Linked DNA regions of Caenorhabditis elegans. The protein of the gene in region 2 interacts with the protein of the main gene of each other region in a pairwise test. Each region holds a gene or a part of one and is shown on either strand. Other genes may lie near its edges.

Region 1 (3,904 bases), 5.0 Mb from region 2:
ATAAAATTGGCCATTTATCGTAAAAAATTTGACTCGAAACAGTCTAAATCATGCAAAATACATACTTTTCTATTGTTTTATCAATTATTTTAACACTTTAAAATTTAATTTAGCTATAAAATGGCGAAATTGTTGAAGTTTTCACAAAATACTGCTGGTCTGCCTAGAATAGGGGTGCAAGACTAATACCGTATGCTCTCTATTAGTCTTGCATGCAATTCCAATAGAGGCTGCAAGACTAATAGAGGAAATACGGTAAATTAGTTTGCTTATGATTTTAGGTGCTAAAAATCTGATAAATTCTGGTTTTCTCTGTATTTACAGCTTGAAATTTGTAGCGACTACTGTAGCTGAGGTTGTGGCAAGACCCACACAAAAACAGCGCGTGCCTTTGAAGTGAAGTGACAATTTTTAACAGAAGTACAATATAATTTTTCTTGTAACAAATTCAAGTGCAAATAGATTGCGGGGAGCCTTTTTGCACAATAGGGATACAAGATTTTTAAAATTTAGTAAAAAAGTCGATTATTCTTATTTTTCAAAAAAACTTATACATATATTTCGAAAACAAAACGTTCAAAAAAAATTCTAACATTTCAATTGTCACTTTTAATGAGAAGTTTTGCAAAACTTGATAGTTATAGTTAGAAGCTAAATTCGTGGCGAGACCCTTTCATTATCAGACGAACAGCTAGTGCCTTCGAAGTGACGTTTCACATTTTCACAGAAGTTAATAGAAATTCCAAAAATTTCTTTAAAACGTCAATTTTATTTTCAATTTTGGTAAATATTTAACAATTTTCAGAACTCCAACTTTCATATTATATTTCAAGTCTAGAAAACCTGACTAAAAATTTCAGAGATCACTTTAAAATTATTTTTTAATAACTAATTTTAATTTTCAAAAAAAAAAACCGTAATTTTGAGCTATGGAAACTAGGTTCAATACACATTTGGAAAAACGACAAAGCCAATAATTTTACAAAGCAGAAAAAAATTATGAAACATCAGACAAAAAATGTCGCCTACACTTCCTACCTGGCACTTTCAAAGTCATTCTTTTGAAAATTGCTTGCAATTTCAATACATTCTAAGAACGCGAACACTTTTTTTTCTACTTTTCTGCGCGAAGATCTTAACTTATTTATTTATATAAAAATAAAATGGAATATCTCATACGTCAGAGACAAAACTAAAAAAACACTTTTTTTCTTTTTTCACCAAAAATGAGGCACACTTGGAAACTCGGAAAAAATGACGGAAAGCTCACCGAAAAGCTTCCCGTCCTTCTCTCAATCTCATTCTTGCTCTCTTTTTTGTGCTCTTTTTTCGTCCATTGAGCCAGATCATTGCTACGCACCCGGACCATAAAATGCTCATTATAAACCCTCCTCTCAACTTTTATCGGGTCACGTCTCGTGGGGATTTCGGGTGTTGATAGCTGGTTGTAAACATGTTTCTCGACGGGAAATTTGTGAGTTGGATTTTTGATTCTTAAATATTGGAAATGTGGGATTTTATATTAAAAAAGGAGGTTTCAAAAAATAATAGGAATTATATTCAAGGGTAATGAAATTTTCAATAAAAGTTTCCCAAATATTTAGATAATAGTGATTTTCTCACCCAGACGCAAAATTTTACGAATTTAGGTCGAATAATTCGGTTCCCGGTCTCGAAACGACTAATTTTTGTTATATTCGGGAAGGTGTGTGCCTTTAAAGGGTACTGTAACTTCAAAATTTCGATGCAGATGAATACTCCTTGAATTCTCATATTCTTCATTCAAATTTGTTATGCCATGTCCAGAACGCGGAAAAAATCCGCACATTTTCATTTTTATATTTTAATTTTTCAACTTGAAATCTCTAAAAATCAGAAACTACCGTACTTTTTGGTTTCTGCCGTCTCTCACTCTCTAACAAATGTTCGATAGAGCGCAATTGCACTAGATTTTTTCGAGGCAATTTTTTTTCAAATTTTATCTTTCAGCGAAATCATTTTTCAACGTTTCAATTTAATAATTTTCTTTCAAATTAAAAGAAATGATTATTAAAATTATTTTAAAAACTACGATTCCGTTCCACGTCATAAAAAACGTAAGCTGACGTCACATAGGCATGCCATTGAGAAATCGTGGATTTTATTTTCTAATTTCGTATTTTCTGAATATTCACTGGCATTTCTTGTTTTTAATTTTAAAAGTGAGTACTTTCACTTTGAAGAATTTTATTTTTATATTTTAGAGTCGATGGATACACAACTCAAGGCCACTAGGGAAGAAATCGACAATGTTCAGCTACTTTTGATTGCGATTGAACGTCAAACGGGAAATCACGAAGTGGATCGATTAATTCAGGATGCAAATAGTAGTCTTATGTAAAACTGATAATTTTATTTAATTCCAACAAGAATCTTTTTTTAGGAAAACTGAAACACACATGTTTCGACTGGAATCACAACTGGGCAGAGAACCGGCTCCAGTTAGACAGAAAGCTTCGTTCAAAATGGATCAATTGAAAAGTGATGTGTGTCTTATCAAAAATTCATTGAGAACAATGACAAATCGTCACACTAATCGAAAGAAGCAAGCAGAAGAAAAGAAAGCACTTCTGAAACAGAGGTTGGTAATTAAAATAAATAATCTATAGTTTTTTTAATAACTCTTTCCAGGTTTACAACAAATCAAGAAACGCGTGTGAATCTGGAATTTGACGAAGAGCTCAACTTGAATGATAAACTGAAATACTCGGATAATATGGTAAATTTTTGTGAAATCGATAAATGTAAATTAATATTAAATATTAAATTTCAGATCGATCAAATGCTAGCCCAAGGTGCAAGCGTCTTTGAGGATCTTCAAAAACAGAAGTACAACTTGCTGAGCATTCGAAAACGATTCCATTTTCTGACCAAATCCGTAAGTATATCTGGTTTCGCTCAATAAATTAGATGAAAATCTTTCAGCTGGGAATATCTGATACCACAATTCGACTCATCGAAAAGCGTGTGCGAGAAGACAAGAAACTCTTTATGATCGGTGTAATTTGTTGCCTGATATTCATGTTCTGCTTCTATTATTGGTGGCAATACTGTTAAACAATGTAAATAAATTAAATGGAATTTTATTATACAAGGAGAAGAAAGACGAACATGTGATATGAGATTCTTCGACAGATAAATAAAGAGATTCAACATTTTTCAGAGGTTACTTCTTCTTACCCATGAATGGGAAGGACATTGATGATCCCATACCGCCCATCGATCCCATTCCATATGGTGACATGCCTCCTCCGTATGGGCTCATTCCTCCCATTCCACCCATTGGTCCCATCATTCCATATGGGCTCATTCCACCCATTCCACCCATTCCATACGGGCTCATTCCGGGTGGAGGCATCGGTGGTGGCATTCCTCCGTACATTCCATTCATGCCGCCCATGCCCATTCCCATGGAACCTGAAATTCCAAAATATTGCAGTGTGAATTGTTTTTAAAGAATATCTCACCTAGCCCGAGGCTTGACAGAAGTGGATCATTGAGTGACGAGGAGTACGATGCTGGAAGAGCACTGAAAACTGTATTTTCTAGGTTCAGGGGAAAGGTGTTTCGATTTCTCGAATTTAACCAAATTTTCTGAGATAAAAACATTTAAAAGCAATATTTCAAACAGAATCTTACCTTGAAATCGCGATTAAGCTTGAGAATACAAGAGAAAAAACACTGGATAATTGCATTTTATTTTTGAAAATGACGAGACGAGAATGTAGACTTGGATCAGGCAGCAATTGACTGCACAACACCAGTTTGTCGGTCTTTTTAATGTTATGCTCTGATGGGCGTGACTGTTCTCTCTCTCCTCCAAAAAAGGTAGCAGAAGATATTCGGTCGAGTAAGCGCAGATGAT
Region 2 (5,818 bases):
AGTTAGATGTGAAGATTTATATAGTCAATTTTCAAAAACATCCTGCTCTTTCAATTACATCTTCCATTCTTAATTCTACATTTCAGAATGGGTGCCAAGGTAAAGGATCAGACGTCCGTCGAGATGCATGATATACCAAAAAATCAAGCTCATCCAGAAGATGATAAACCACATTCATGGAAGGATGCGCTGTTCGGAAGACGTGCTAGAAAGTATGCCTTCGTATTTATTGTCGCTTTTCTGGCTGTTCTCACCGTCAAAGATGTATTCGACCTGGTAAGTAATTACCTCTCATTATCACATTAGTATTTCCCTTCTGTTCAATTAAAATTGTAGTTCCTAATTTCAAACGACGAATTTACAGTTCGAGGAATACTTTGACTATCCAAAAGAATCGGACATCAACATCGTTTTCAATGAATCAATGACAATGCCAAATGTTACTTTCTGCATGTCTCGACAACAAGCCTGGTCCCATTTCAAATTGAATCTTACTGCGCCCGCGGATGAGTGGGATGCAGTTGTTGATGAAAATCTTGCAAATATGACTGATCACGACGCATTTATGAAGACTCCATGGGATTATCGACTTGTAATGGAAGCATACGACATGATTGCTACATATAGTAGTTTGGAAAGAGAGACAACTGCTCATGGATCAGCACGTTCCATTCACGTGTTTAAAAACGCTCCAAGACTTGCGGCAAAGAGAAAAACGTTCAAGAAATGGAGAGATATTCTCGACTCTCGTGGAATCACATTCGATGAGTTCACTCAAAAGACTGGAATTGAAGTTCTTCGCCGTTCAATGCAAAGATTCAGAAGACGCACGTTTGATGATGATGAAACTGTGATCAAAACGAAACTTCGCATTTCTTGGATTTCCCAGATGCAAATCTGCTTCCAGCCAGAATTCGATCAAGACAATTTTAAGACTATTGACGACCAGGGAGTGTTCTTTGACATGCTTCTTTCTCATAACGCTGAGAATACTGAAGGTCAAAAAATTGACTGTATGTCCGTAGATTTCCATGGAAGACCATCATCATTGAACAGATTCATGGAAGGAAAGGGTAGATCTAGAGATGGATACGTTGATGAGGTAAAACCAGAAACAAAAATAATGGTTCGGTGTATGCAAAAGCAATTATTCAGGTTTGTTTGGGACAGCGTCACGAGGTAACAGCTCATGTCACTGCACTCTATCAAATGTTAGAAAATGACGAACAAGGTACAAGATGCCGTGATGTAGAAGACGGAGAAGACAGTGAGTTCAATTGCCGATCTCGTTGCCGTATGGAGATGATCCGTGATGCTTGTCATTGTACTCCACTTTCATTAAGTTACCTAGCGAAAAAAGAAGACATGGAAATCTTCCCATTGTGTGACTATACACAATGTACTGTCGAGTAAGTTCCAGACACATATTTTCAGATTTCAAGTACCATTTTTCAGTGTTCAAAAGGGTAACTACTCTGACACAGAATGCGCCAACAAATGTTTCCCCGATTGCCGTCAAATTAGATTCGAGGTTGATCACTCTGTAAAAGGACGTATGCTTCGTCCTGATTTAACACTTGTTGAACTTTCCTGGGGTCCATTCGAATATCTGACTATGGAACAACAATGGAAATATAGTGCCACCTCGTTTATCGCTGCATTGGGAGGATCCATTGGAATGTGGCTTGGACTTTCGATTTTGTCACTTATCCAACTCGTAACATATTCTTACACCTACTTCACAAAGAAGATTGTTAATGAGAGAATTCTCAAGAAGGGAAATACTTTTGATAAAAAGGTAGGTCAATGAAATGATTGATATGGAACTAAATATTTAGTGAACTATTATATATTAAATGAAACCCATTTTAGACTGTTAATAAGAAATAATGCAAAAATAGTGAGTTTGTATTTTCAATAATTATGAGATTTATTCTTCTCATTTCTTTCAATTATTTTCATTCACTCGAAAGACACTGCATCTGTGCATTGAAATTCACGAGAACACATTACTTTCTTATTTTTGAACACTTTTCCTACACAAATCTTTTCCACTTCAAAAAACTTTTCAAACACGTTTCCACTCTAATAAATGCACAGGACGAGGGAGACGAGGATGGTGACTTCACAATTGACAACGGAACTGAGAGAAAGAAGATGTCATTGGCAGAGAATCCGTTCGCCGAATTTTTCCCAGCCGGATCACCGGAACAACCGAAGAAGATGGGCTCTAAGCCAAATTCACGTCAAGCATCTCTTGATAAGGCAAGCACTGTCACATGAGTCACTTTTCACCTCTATTTTACTATACTAAAATTATCTTAAATTTGATAATTTTTCAGGATGGAGGCAATGCACAAGGATACAGTTCTAATCCACGAGCTTAAAAACGTTGACTATATTGTTAGATCGATCAAACTTCAATTACTGGTTCTTAATTTCATAATTTTAAATTAGTTGTTCCTCTCAGGTTGTTAATCATCTTCTTTTTCTCTTTTTCCCTCACTTTTTTTTTCCTTTTGTTCCCCCATTCCCAATAATAACCTATTCCTGTGATCTACATGATTCTCTCTCTTGAAATATATTCGAAAACGAAATAAAACGAACTCACCTGTGAAGAGTGAATTTTTTCTTTTCAATTGTTGGAGTATCTCGATCACTTGTCAATCGTATACTTCTCAAACTAGCTGTTTCTTCACTATCTTCAGTATAACTTGCTACCAATGAAGATGTTGGACTTGAATATCCAGCTGGTTGAGAAGAAGTGTGACAACGACGAATGTGGGCTTCAAAATCAAGATCACATACTCCTTCCAGTGGTAGTTTCTGACATACTCCATGTTCTCCGTATCTAAATAATTAGAATATTTCAAACGATAAATTGCAGAAAATATAAAACCGTTCTTCAAAATTAACAAAAAATCTTGTTATTGATTTTTGAACAATCGAAAAATTTCGGTTTTCAATTTTTCAAATTTTGGTTTTTTTTCTTATTTTTAGAAGAAATTTGTTTATTTTTCAAATTTAAATTTAAAAAATTGAATTTTATGGTTAGTTTTCTGAAAGTTTTTATTTTATATGTTTCGATTTTGAGTTTCTTGAGCAAAAATACTTTTTTTTCATTTTCGATTTTTAATTTTAAATAAAAAAAACACAATTGTTTCTTTTTTTCATCAATATAAACAAAATGTGATTTTTAAAAAAGTAATTTTATGGTTTTTTTTTATTTTCCAGAAAATCGAAAAAATTTATTTTTTCGATTTTTCGATTCTCTTGAAAAAATATAGTTAACGAAAAATGTTCGATGACACCCTTGACTGTGATTTAAAATTATATTTAGAATTTTTATTTTTCAAAATTTTTTAAAACATACCTACAAAGAAAGCTACCACCTTCTTTTGTCGTATGATCTTGTCGAATATGTCGTGCAAACTCGGAAGCCGTCATAAGCTCGATAATTGGCTGACAATAATCACATATTCTTGGATAACCAATCTCCGGTTGAATTTTGAGTGAAGCTCTTGATGAACTTGCAGATATAAGACCTACTGTTCGGTCATCCATTGATTTCATTTGTGAATCATTTCTGGAAATAAGAATTAGTAAAAAACTAAAAATTTTGATAGTAAATATAATAATCTGCAAGAGACAGTGTTGAAATCGGAGAAAAATAAAATTACAAACGTTCAATATTCATTATTATGGCTCACAAAAAAAGAGAATCGGAATAGAAATGGTACTTGAGCAGCACTTAGTGCGAAATAATGGAGCGAGAAGAATGAGAAAGATTCAGAGAGAAAAAAGGCTAAAATATTCCCACCACTCGCACTAAAACGTCGATAAAATGTAAAGAACATTTGAATATTAACTTTTTTGACCGAGAAGCTGGGAGTTCTATTTTATACCTGTGGGATTGTTATCTATGAATTTTACTTTTTTCCTATTCTACATCGCAATAATACGCATTATACTTAGCACCAAAAATTGTCACGAAGTGAAACAGATGAATAACAGAGAAAATTGAATTGAATATTGAACAAACCGAGAAAAAAGAGAAGAAAGCAGAGAGAGAGAGAGGTAATACAATTAATATTACAAGTATTTAATTCAGAAAATGGGGAGAAAAAGATCAACGGCGTCCTCTGATGAATCTGTAGGCAAGGTATCCAGAGATAGTCAATGCTCCAAGACCGATTGAAACATACAAAGCTTCGGTTAGCCAAGAATTGCTGAAAGTTATCATTTGGTACTTTTCCGATTTCTGCCCCCCCAAAATGTTTTTTACTCAATATTTTAATTTAAATTCACACGTAAATGTTTATTTCAATACAATTTCAATTTTTAGGCTTATGGGATGATGCAAGTGAATTTCTCGTCATTTCTCGACAAATTTATTTACCAAAATTTCACCAAAAAAATTTATTTACCAAATAATAATATTTAATTTTTTTTTTCTGTCCAGTCAGATTTTAATAATAAAAATCGCGAATTTTTTAATTTCCGATTAATAAAACTTACTTTCTCGGATCCAAAAGACTAAGTGGTTTACGTGGTGTTCTCGGTACATCGTCAATGATGGAATGAGTGGAAGGAGCATAGGAAGTAACACTTTGAGCATCTTCTTCTTCGTAAACTTTTCCACGAATTCTGAAAATCAATAAGAAATAAATTCAGAAAAATTTTAAAATTTACCTTTCTATAACAGCCGAAAGTCCATGAGACGTCAAACGGCTTTTTGATTCCGAATGCGACATCGACTTTGGTGTGTCTGTATTATTCTGAGTACTACGAGTCTGTGGAGTGACTTGAGGAGTAATTGAAACAGAAGCAGTTGGAGTTTGTGTTCGATCTTCTTGAAGATGTAAGTATTCTCGATCAATCAACATTTTAGCCACATGACCGATTTTAACACTTCGAAATACTTCCACAGCTTCATCGTGTGTCTTGTAGGTCATATCGATACCGTCAAACTAAACATTGGAACAATTTAAATTAATAATTACTTTAATCGGAAACTAACCGACAAAATTTTATCGCCTGTTCTTACGACTCCATATGATTTTGACTCGCTATTAACTGATGAGACGTATATTCCGATATCTCCAACAAAGTGAGGATTGTCTGTTCCACCAACTATATTGAATCCGAAACCTGTAAAATGAGTACTATATAGACGTTTAAAAATACAATTTATACCTTTAGATGTTTTTTCTATTTCAACTACTGTCAATGCCTCCAATGGAACAGATTCTTGTCCATTTCCATCTGTAGTCGTATCATTGAATGTCATGTCGTCCGTTGCTTCTGCAGCAAATGAAATATCGAATGTATGATCTTCATCAGCGTGAAATGGGGAGGAAACGAGAGCGGCATGATCTGAATATTCTTACCAACTCTCGAGTCCTTCCATAGTTTAATACTTACGTTCATAAACTGGATCTGAATCGGTATTGAACACTGTATCCTCTTGCGGAGGAGACACCATCATTCTGAACAATTTGAAGATTTTTGTAAATTTCGAAAATCACTAATTCCAAATGAAATAAATAATACACAGAAAACAACTGCTGTAATTATAAACGTAGAGAAATAACACCATTTAAAAATATTTATTCATGTGGTTGCGGATGAATTGTATAACTGGATATGAAATTTCGTTTTCACATTTTTTGGAAAAGAGTTTAAAACTTAGGACTGAATCCGTAAAAAGTGAGAAAAGAGAACGTTGGAAAGAGATAGAAGTGAGAAACCCATATGGATGGTAATCAGTGCTGATTATTGAGCCTGTTGTTCATTAATTTGTAGATGCTCTCCTTTA
Region 3 (5,350 bases), 1.2 Mb from region 2:
AAACTAACTATAACTTCTAACTGTAAGGGAAAAATGTAAATATTAACATTTTTAAAGTAGAATTTTAAATAGTTGTCAATATTAGGAATGTCCAAAACGCTACCTATTTCTCAGCCGTGAAACTTTTTGACACCACCGGATGTGCGCCTTTAAAGAGTACAGTAACTTTTGTTGTTGTAGCGCTTTTTTTAATAGATTTTTGCTCAAATGCTTTAGTTAATTTTTTCAAAATAAAAAAATCAATTAAATCATATAAATTTTGAAAAATAGTGTACCAACAATGAAAGATCGATGAAATTAAAAAATTACAGTCCTCATTAGAGGCACACATCCGCTTGTATTTGACAAGAAGTGTCGTGTCGAGACCGAGTTATGTGCTTTTAGCGCGAAAATTGCTAAATTTCGCATATGGCATATAATTGCATCTACATTTACTTTAACCAAACTAATTTTCATACGTACACTTGCACTTACTCTTCATCGTGTACTTCTTTTTCTTCAGCAAACTTTGCTCCTTGAGCTTCTAGCACTAAAATTTAATAATTTATAAACATTAGAAAGTTATAAACAGATTTGCATACCTAATAGAAGGAATACAGTTGAGATGAATAAAAATCCACGCATTATAGAGTGGGAATATGTATAAAATCAATAGAAATAGACAGAAAACTCTTTTTCTCAAGACTGCCAAATGTCAATATTTTATTATCAGTCTCCCCCTGCTTCGCCTTTTAGTTCCAACGCAAAATTTGGTAGTGCAAAAGCAAAAGCAAACATGAATTTTATTGTTACAGGTGCTAAATACAAATTTTCATTTGTTTTTATTCGATCTCAACTAACTATAAGATAAACCAATAAATTATGCTTTTTACAAATGGGTTTCGAAAAATCATCACAACTTGAGAAATGATGGGGAAAATGCAAAATTGGAAAAATAACTAAAGTTGTAGGACTGGGAAATGGGGAGGGTGTCTGACTATTATGTACCAGTTAAAGTGTTAAAAGTGACGAGGATAGTATGATAAAATGATTTGTTACAGCAGTCGATATAACCCATCAAAAGACGTAGAATGTTAATAAAACATTGAAAACTTTGGAAACGAGGAATTGGAAATTATGGCTATTAATTAGATCGTTGTCCTAATCAGAATTCTCGATTATTGTGTGCCACCAGCTTTCTGCATTTGTTCCTGGTGAGATCTTGCTTGATCTTCTCGAAGCTTTTGTGCTTTGAGGAACTCTCCGTAGTCGATGAAGCCATCAGCATTGAAATCGTCGTCCCTGAAAATATTCAGTAAAGTATTTTTTTAAGACTTTGAATATTTTAGTGCTTTCTTATGCTAATTGCTAGCAGTAGTCTCTAGAAAATAAATTAATTAAATATATATCTCACTTTAAAATACTATCAATCATCGTCTCCAATTCAACTTCACTTGGGAGTGGTGGTGGCTGATGATTGGCATTGGCATTATTTTGTGTATGCTGTGGTCCTGGATTCTCGGCATGGAAATGCGTTATTGCCTTAATCAACTCGACTCCATCCAGTTTCCCATTTTTATCTAAATCGTGCATATTGAAATAATGGAATTGAAGTTGTTCTGGCGTCATGTTAGCAGTTGGGTCCACTTTTCCGTCCAAATGTTCTTTTATGTGGCTGAAATGTTTTAAATTAATTTTGAAAATTGTTATTAAAACTTACTGTTCATCTCTGGCCTGTTCTCCACCAAACTGCTGTTGCCCAGGCTGAGCATGTTGAGCTTGTTCCGCTTGGCCACCCTGATTTATTCAATACAATTTACAAAATTAAAGAAGCTTTAAAATAATAAAAATCACTGTATCCAGATTGTTTTTCAGTTCAATTTCTAGCGAAAATAATTTTCTTATTATTCTTTACAAACATTGTTTACCTGTTGTGGTTGCTGTTGATTAGAACCAGGAAACTGCTGTGGTTGGTGGGCAAAGGAACCAAGAATGAGGCAAGATACCACCAAAATGTTGGCTGCCATTCCTGTAATATTATAATCACTAAAATATAGACAAAACTAAGTAAGAATACAGAAAACGGAATCAAAAACGGAAGCGTGAAGTGGAAGCTGTTATTTTATTTGTGTCGATTTACGGGGAGATACGGTAATCGGGAGGCAACGTGTTCCAAATCTTACGGTAATCGCTGAAATTTCTTAAAACAATAAATCGAAACGAAAAGTTATGTGTATTTTTTTAATAAAATTAACTTGACTGAGCATTTTGGTTGAGAAATATAAAACTTAAACTGAAAATTAAACAAAAAAAAAAGAAAAACTAGTGCATTGAGGAGCGTGTTTGTTGCGCATAAAATACGCAACGCCACGCACAACCTCCGACCACACATTGATTTTCTTCTCCACGAAGTCGAGCCGGTTTAGTGGACTGTTGCGACAATGCAGCGAAATATTTGTTATTTGTTTTTCTTTTGAAATAATATTTTTACCGTGACATTTGAATATATTAATCTTTTCGACGCTTTCAGTCATTTAAACAATATTTTTCAGTTTGTTCGATGTCGGATGTCGGACTTTCACAACATTAGATCTCGTCGACGAATACCAGAAGCCAGTTCTTACTCAACAGTCGATTTTGATTACGATCCAGATCAGAAGAATCACACTTCAGCAGTTGCTCCGACTAGTTTCGCGTATAGCTCTCTCACAACCGTTTTCAACGCGTCAGCTTCACAACTTTGGAATTCTGCGCAGGTTTGTCTATCGGAACGAAGAAAGATGGCTATCTGTATATTTCTGGTTTTTATTTTTTCATGCATATATCTTTCAGGAGGCGCTTGTATCCTCCTACGACACAGCGGAAGGCACTGAAAGCATAGACGCAGATCGATCAAAGGTAGTAGAAACACTTGAATCGCTGAGTATTTTTGGAAATCCACTTGATCATATCATTATCACAATGCCATCAAGAGATCGAACTTCGGAATTCCGGGCGACAGCCAAATCATACGAAGTGAGTTTTTTCATTAAACTTCTAAAAATAAGCTTTTATTTCGAAACATTTACTTTTAAAACGTGTTATTCGGGTTTCACATCAACATTTGGACGAGACGAATATATCGATTTTTGCGAAACTCGAAATACACTTCGAACAGAAAAAAGAAACACGAATCACCTGTTAATATTTTTAAAAACATTCTAGGCGATAATATTTTTATTATTTATATAAAATTCGGGTAACATATAATTTTTCAGATGAAAGCAGCCGCAAATGGAATTAGACCTCAACCAAAGCATGAGATGCTATCTGAATCCGTGCAGTTCAATCAACTCGCAAAGCGAATCGGAAAAGAATTGAGTCAAACGTGTGCAAAAATGGAAAAACTTGCCGAATATGCTAAGAAAAAGAGCTGCTATGAAGAACGATCTCAAATTGACCATCTTTCATCAATTGTCAAGTCTGACATTACGGGTTTGAACAAACAGATCGGACAACTTCAAGAATTTTCAAAAAGACGTGCAGGAAACATGAAAAATCAAAATAGTGGACATATACAATTAGTTGTAGTTGGATTGCAGTCAAAATTAGCGAATGTCGGAAAAGATTATCAAAGCGTACTGGAAATTAGTACAGAAACAATGAAGGCTGAAAAAAATCGCCGAGATAAATTCTCGAGTGGTGCAGCAGTTCCAATGGGACTTCCTTCCTCCTCTTCCGGAGCTAATGGTATTTTATTTTCCTCGCTCATTCAATAAAAATCTGAAATTTTAGTTCGTTCAAAGCTTCTTCAAGATGATGAGCAGCATGGCTCCTCAAGCATAGCTCTGGATATGGGTGCTCTGTCAAACATGCAATCACAACAGACTATGGTAAGTTTTCAATTTGAAAAATATGAAATTTTTTTTGAAAAACTATCAATATTAAATTTCCAATGCTCCGTGTTTAGGAGAAGTACAGTGAAACTTTTTTTAAAAATTAATATTTTTTGCCAATAAAGCAAGTTTTATCGAAACTAATTTAGAACAGCAAAGAATACATTTGAAAAATTGCGATGTTACAAAAAATTTGTAAGATTTCTATGATTTTAGTTAGGAAATGTTAATATTTTCTTTGGAATTCGTTTTTTTCTTTAAAAATTTAAAAATTATATTTCTAATAGTATTAACCAAAAATTATGACTTGATAGAATATTGTAGACATTTTTGAGCGTTTATTGAAAACATAAAAATCGTGAAAACTGTAAATTGCTCAAAAATCAAACAAAAAAATAGATAGAATATAGTTAGTTTTTTTAAACACTTTCCAAGAAACAAATATTTTCAGCAACAAAGAGATTCATCATTGGAATATGCGCAAGCCCGTAGCAACACCATGGCGACAATTGAAGGATCCATCTCCGAACTTGGCCAAATTTTCTCTCAACTGGCTTCACTCGTCAGTGAGCAAGGAGAGATGATAACAAGAATCGATTCAAATGTTGAAGATACAGCTCTTAATATTGATATGGCACATTCAGAGCTTGTGAGATATCTTCAAAATATTAGCAAAAATCGATGGTTAATGATTCAAGTTTTTGGAGTTCTCATGGTTTTCTTTGTTGTATTTGTTCTTTTCCTCACCTAAACATTTCCATTTTTCATTGGTTCTTTTTTTTTCCGTGATTGCTGACTTGTTTGAATGTGTCTATTGTAAAAAAAGTGGAAAAGTAAATTCAAATTGCTTCTCCTATCACCTATAATCATTATTTTCCTCTACTATTATTTCCATGAATTAGCTTTTACTTCTCTGTCTTGACCCGGAAATTGATGGTAGAACTCCGCCTGTGATTAAAATCTTCTCTATTTTTAGCATAAAGCTTTTTAAATTTTAATCAAAACTATTCATATTATTTCTTATATTCATGGTATTTTGAACCAACTCTTACTTCTTATTATTATTATTATTGTAATTTTTTGGTTCATAATTATTTTCAGATCCCTCGGAATTCAGATGAGGGTATCAGCTGGACTAATGATTGGTGGCTCGTGTGTGGCGACTGCGGCCACCATACTCAACGCGTTCCTGATCAACAAACAGTTCTATCCATCAATCGTATATCTCTCAAAAAGCAATGCAAGTATGGCAGTGATATATGTTCAAGGAATTGTTCTTGTATATCTCATGTTCCAATTGCTCAAGTCTATTTTATTCGGAGATTTGAGAGCTGCAGAGGCTGAGGTAATTTTCAATATTAAATCAGTACTGAACATAAATAAATTTCAGCATCTGTCAGAACGTACATGGCATGCAGTTCTGGAAACATGTCTCGCATTCACTGTATTCCGTGATGATTTCTCAGCAATATTCGTTATGCAATTTATTGGTCTTC

Evidence for each region.
Region 1: the proteins of vps-54 (region 2) and memb-2 interact in a two-hybrid assay, tested with the Caenorhabditis elegans proteins (one study listed by BioGRID).
Region 3: the proteins of vps-54 (region 2) and syx-5 interact in a two-hybrid assay, tested with the Caenorhabditis elegans proteins (one study listed by BioGRID).

Annotation. Positions count from the first base shown.
Region 1 is NC_003283.11:5,617,541-5,621,444, reverse strand, and holds memb-2 (Golgi SNAP receptor complex member 2), read left to right. Parts: upstream 1-2,243; 5' UTR 2,244-2,248; coding exon 2,249-2,376; intron 2,377-2,422; coding exon 2,423-2,620; intron 2,621-2,670; coding exon 2,671-2,758; intron 2,759-2,812; coding exon 2,813-2,917; intron 2,918-2,964; coding exon 2,965-3,096; 3' UTR 3,097-3,124; downstream 3,125-3,904. Other genes in the region: M03E7.2 (uncharacterized protein), read right to left, coding at 3,206-3,456, 3,507-3,568, 3,679-3,734.
Region 2 is NC_003283.11:10,572,834-10,578,651, forward strand, and holds the start of vps-54 (Vacuolar protein sorting-associated protein 54), read right to left. Parts: upstream 3,587-5,818; 5' UTR 3,574-3,586; coding exon 3,374-3,573; intron 2,852-3,373; coding exon 2,612-2,851; exon of another isoform or gene 2,388-2,611; coding exon of another isoform or gene 2,343-2,387; intron 2,266-2,342; coding exon of another isoform or gene 2,101-2,265; intron 1,901-2,100; exon of another isoform or gene 1,891-1,900; coding exon of another isoform or gene 1,873-1,890; intron 1,799-1,872; coding exon of another isoform or gene 1,456-1,798; intron 1,410-1,455; coding exon of another isoform or gene 1,156-1,409; intron 1,103-1,155; coding exon of another isoform or gene 365-1,102; intron 277-364; coding exon of another isoform or gene 88-276; exon of another isoform or gene 81-87; intron 1-80. Other genes in the region: del-6 (Amiloride-sensitive sodium channel), read left to right, coding at 88-276, 365-1,102, 1,156-1,409, 1,456-1,798, 2,101-2,265, 2,343-2,387; mics-1 (PDZ domain-containing protein), read right to left, coding at 4,130-4,229, 4,519-4,647, 4,693-4,970, 5,021-5,151, 5,197-5,376, 5,425-5,488; erh-1 (Enhancer of rudimentary homolog), read right to left, coding at 5,766-5,818. UniProt on the Caenorhabditis elegans protein: Acts as a component of the GARP complex that is involved in retrograde transport from early and late endosomes to the trans-Golgi network (TGN). The GARP complex facilitates tethering as well as SNARE complex assembly at the Golgi.
Region 3 is NC_003283.11:11,762,373-11,767,722, forward strand, and holds syx-5 (Putative syntaxin-5), read left to right. Parts: upstream 1-2,531; 5' UTR 2,532-2,546; coding exon 2,547-2,735; intron 2,736-2,811; coding exon 2,812-2,994; intron 2,995-3,236; coding exon 3,237-3,708; intron 3,709-3,753; coding exon 3,754-3,851; intron 3,852-4,305; coding exon 4,306-4,605; 3' UTR 4,606-4,850; downstream 4,851-5,350. Other genes in the region: T04F3.4 (EF-hand domain-containing protein), read right to left, coding at 475-529, 582-624; F55A11.1 (EF-hand domain-containing protein), read right to left, coding at 1,158-1,281, 1,394-1,654, 1,700-1,776, 1,908-2,006; sel-11 (E3 ubiquitin-protein ligase hrd-1), read left to right, coding at 4,972-5,199, 5,245-5,350. UniProt on the Caenorhabditis elegans protein: Potentially involved in docking of synaptic vesicles at presynaptic active zones.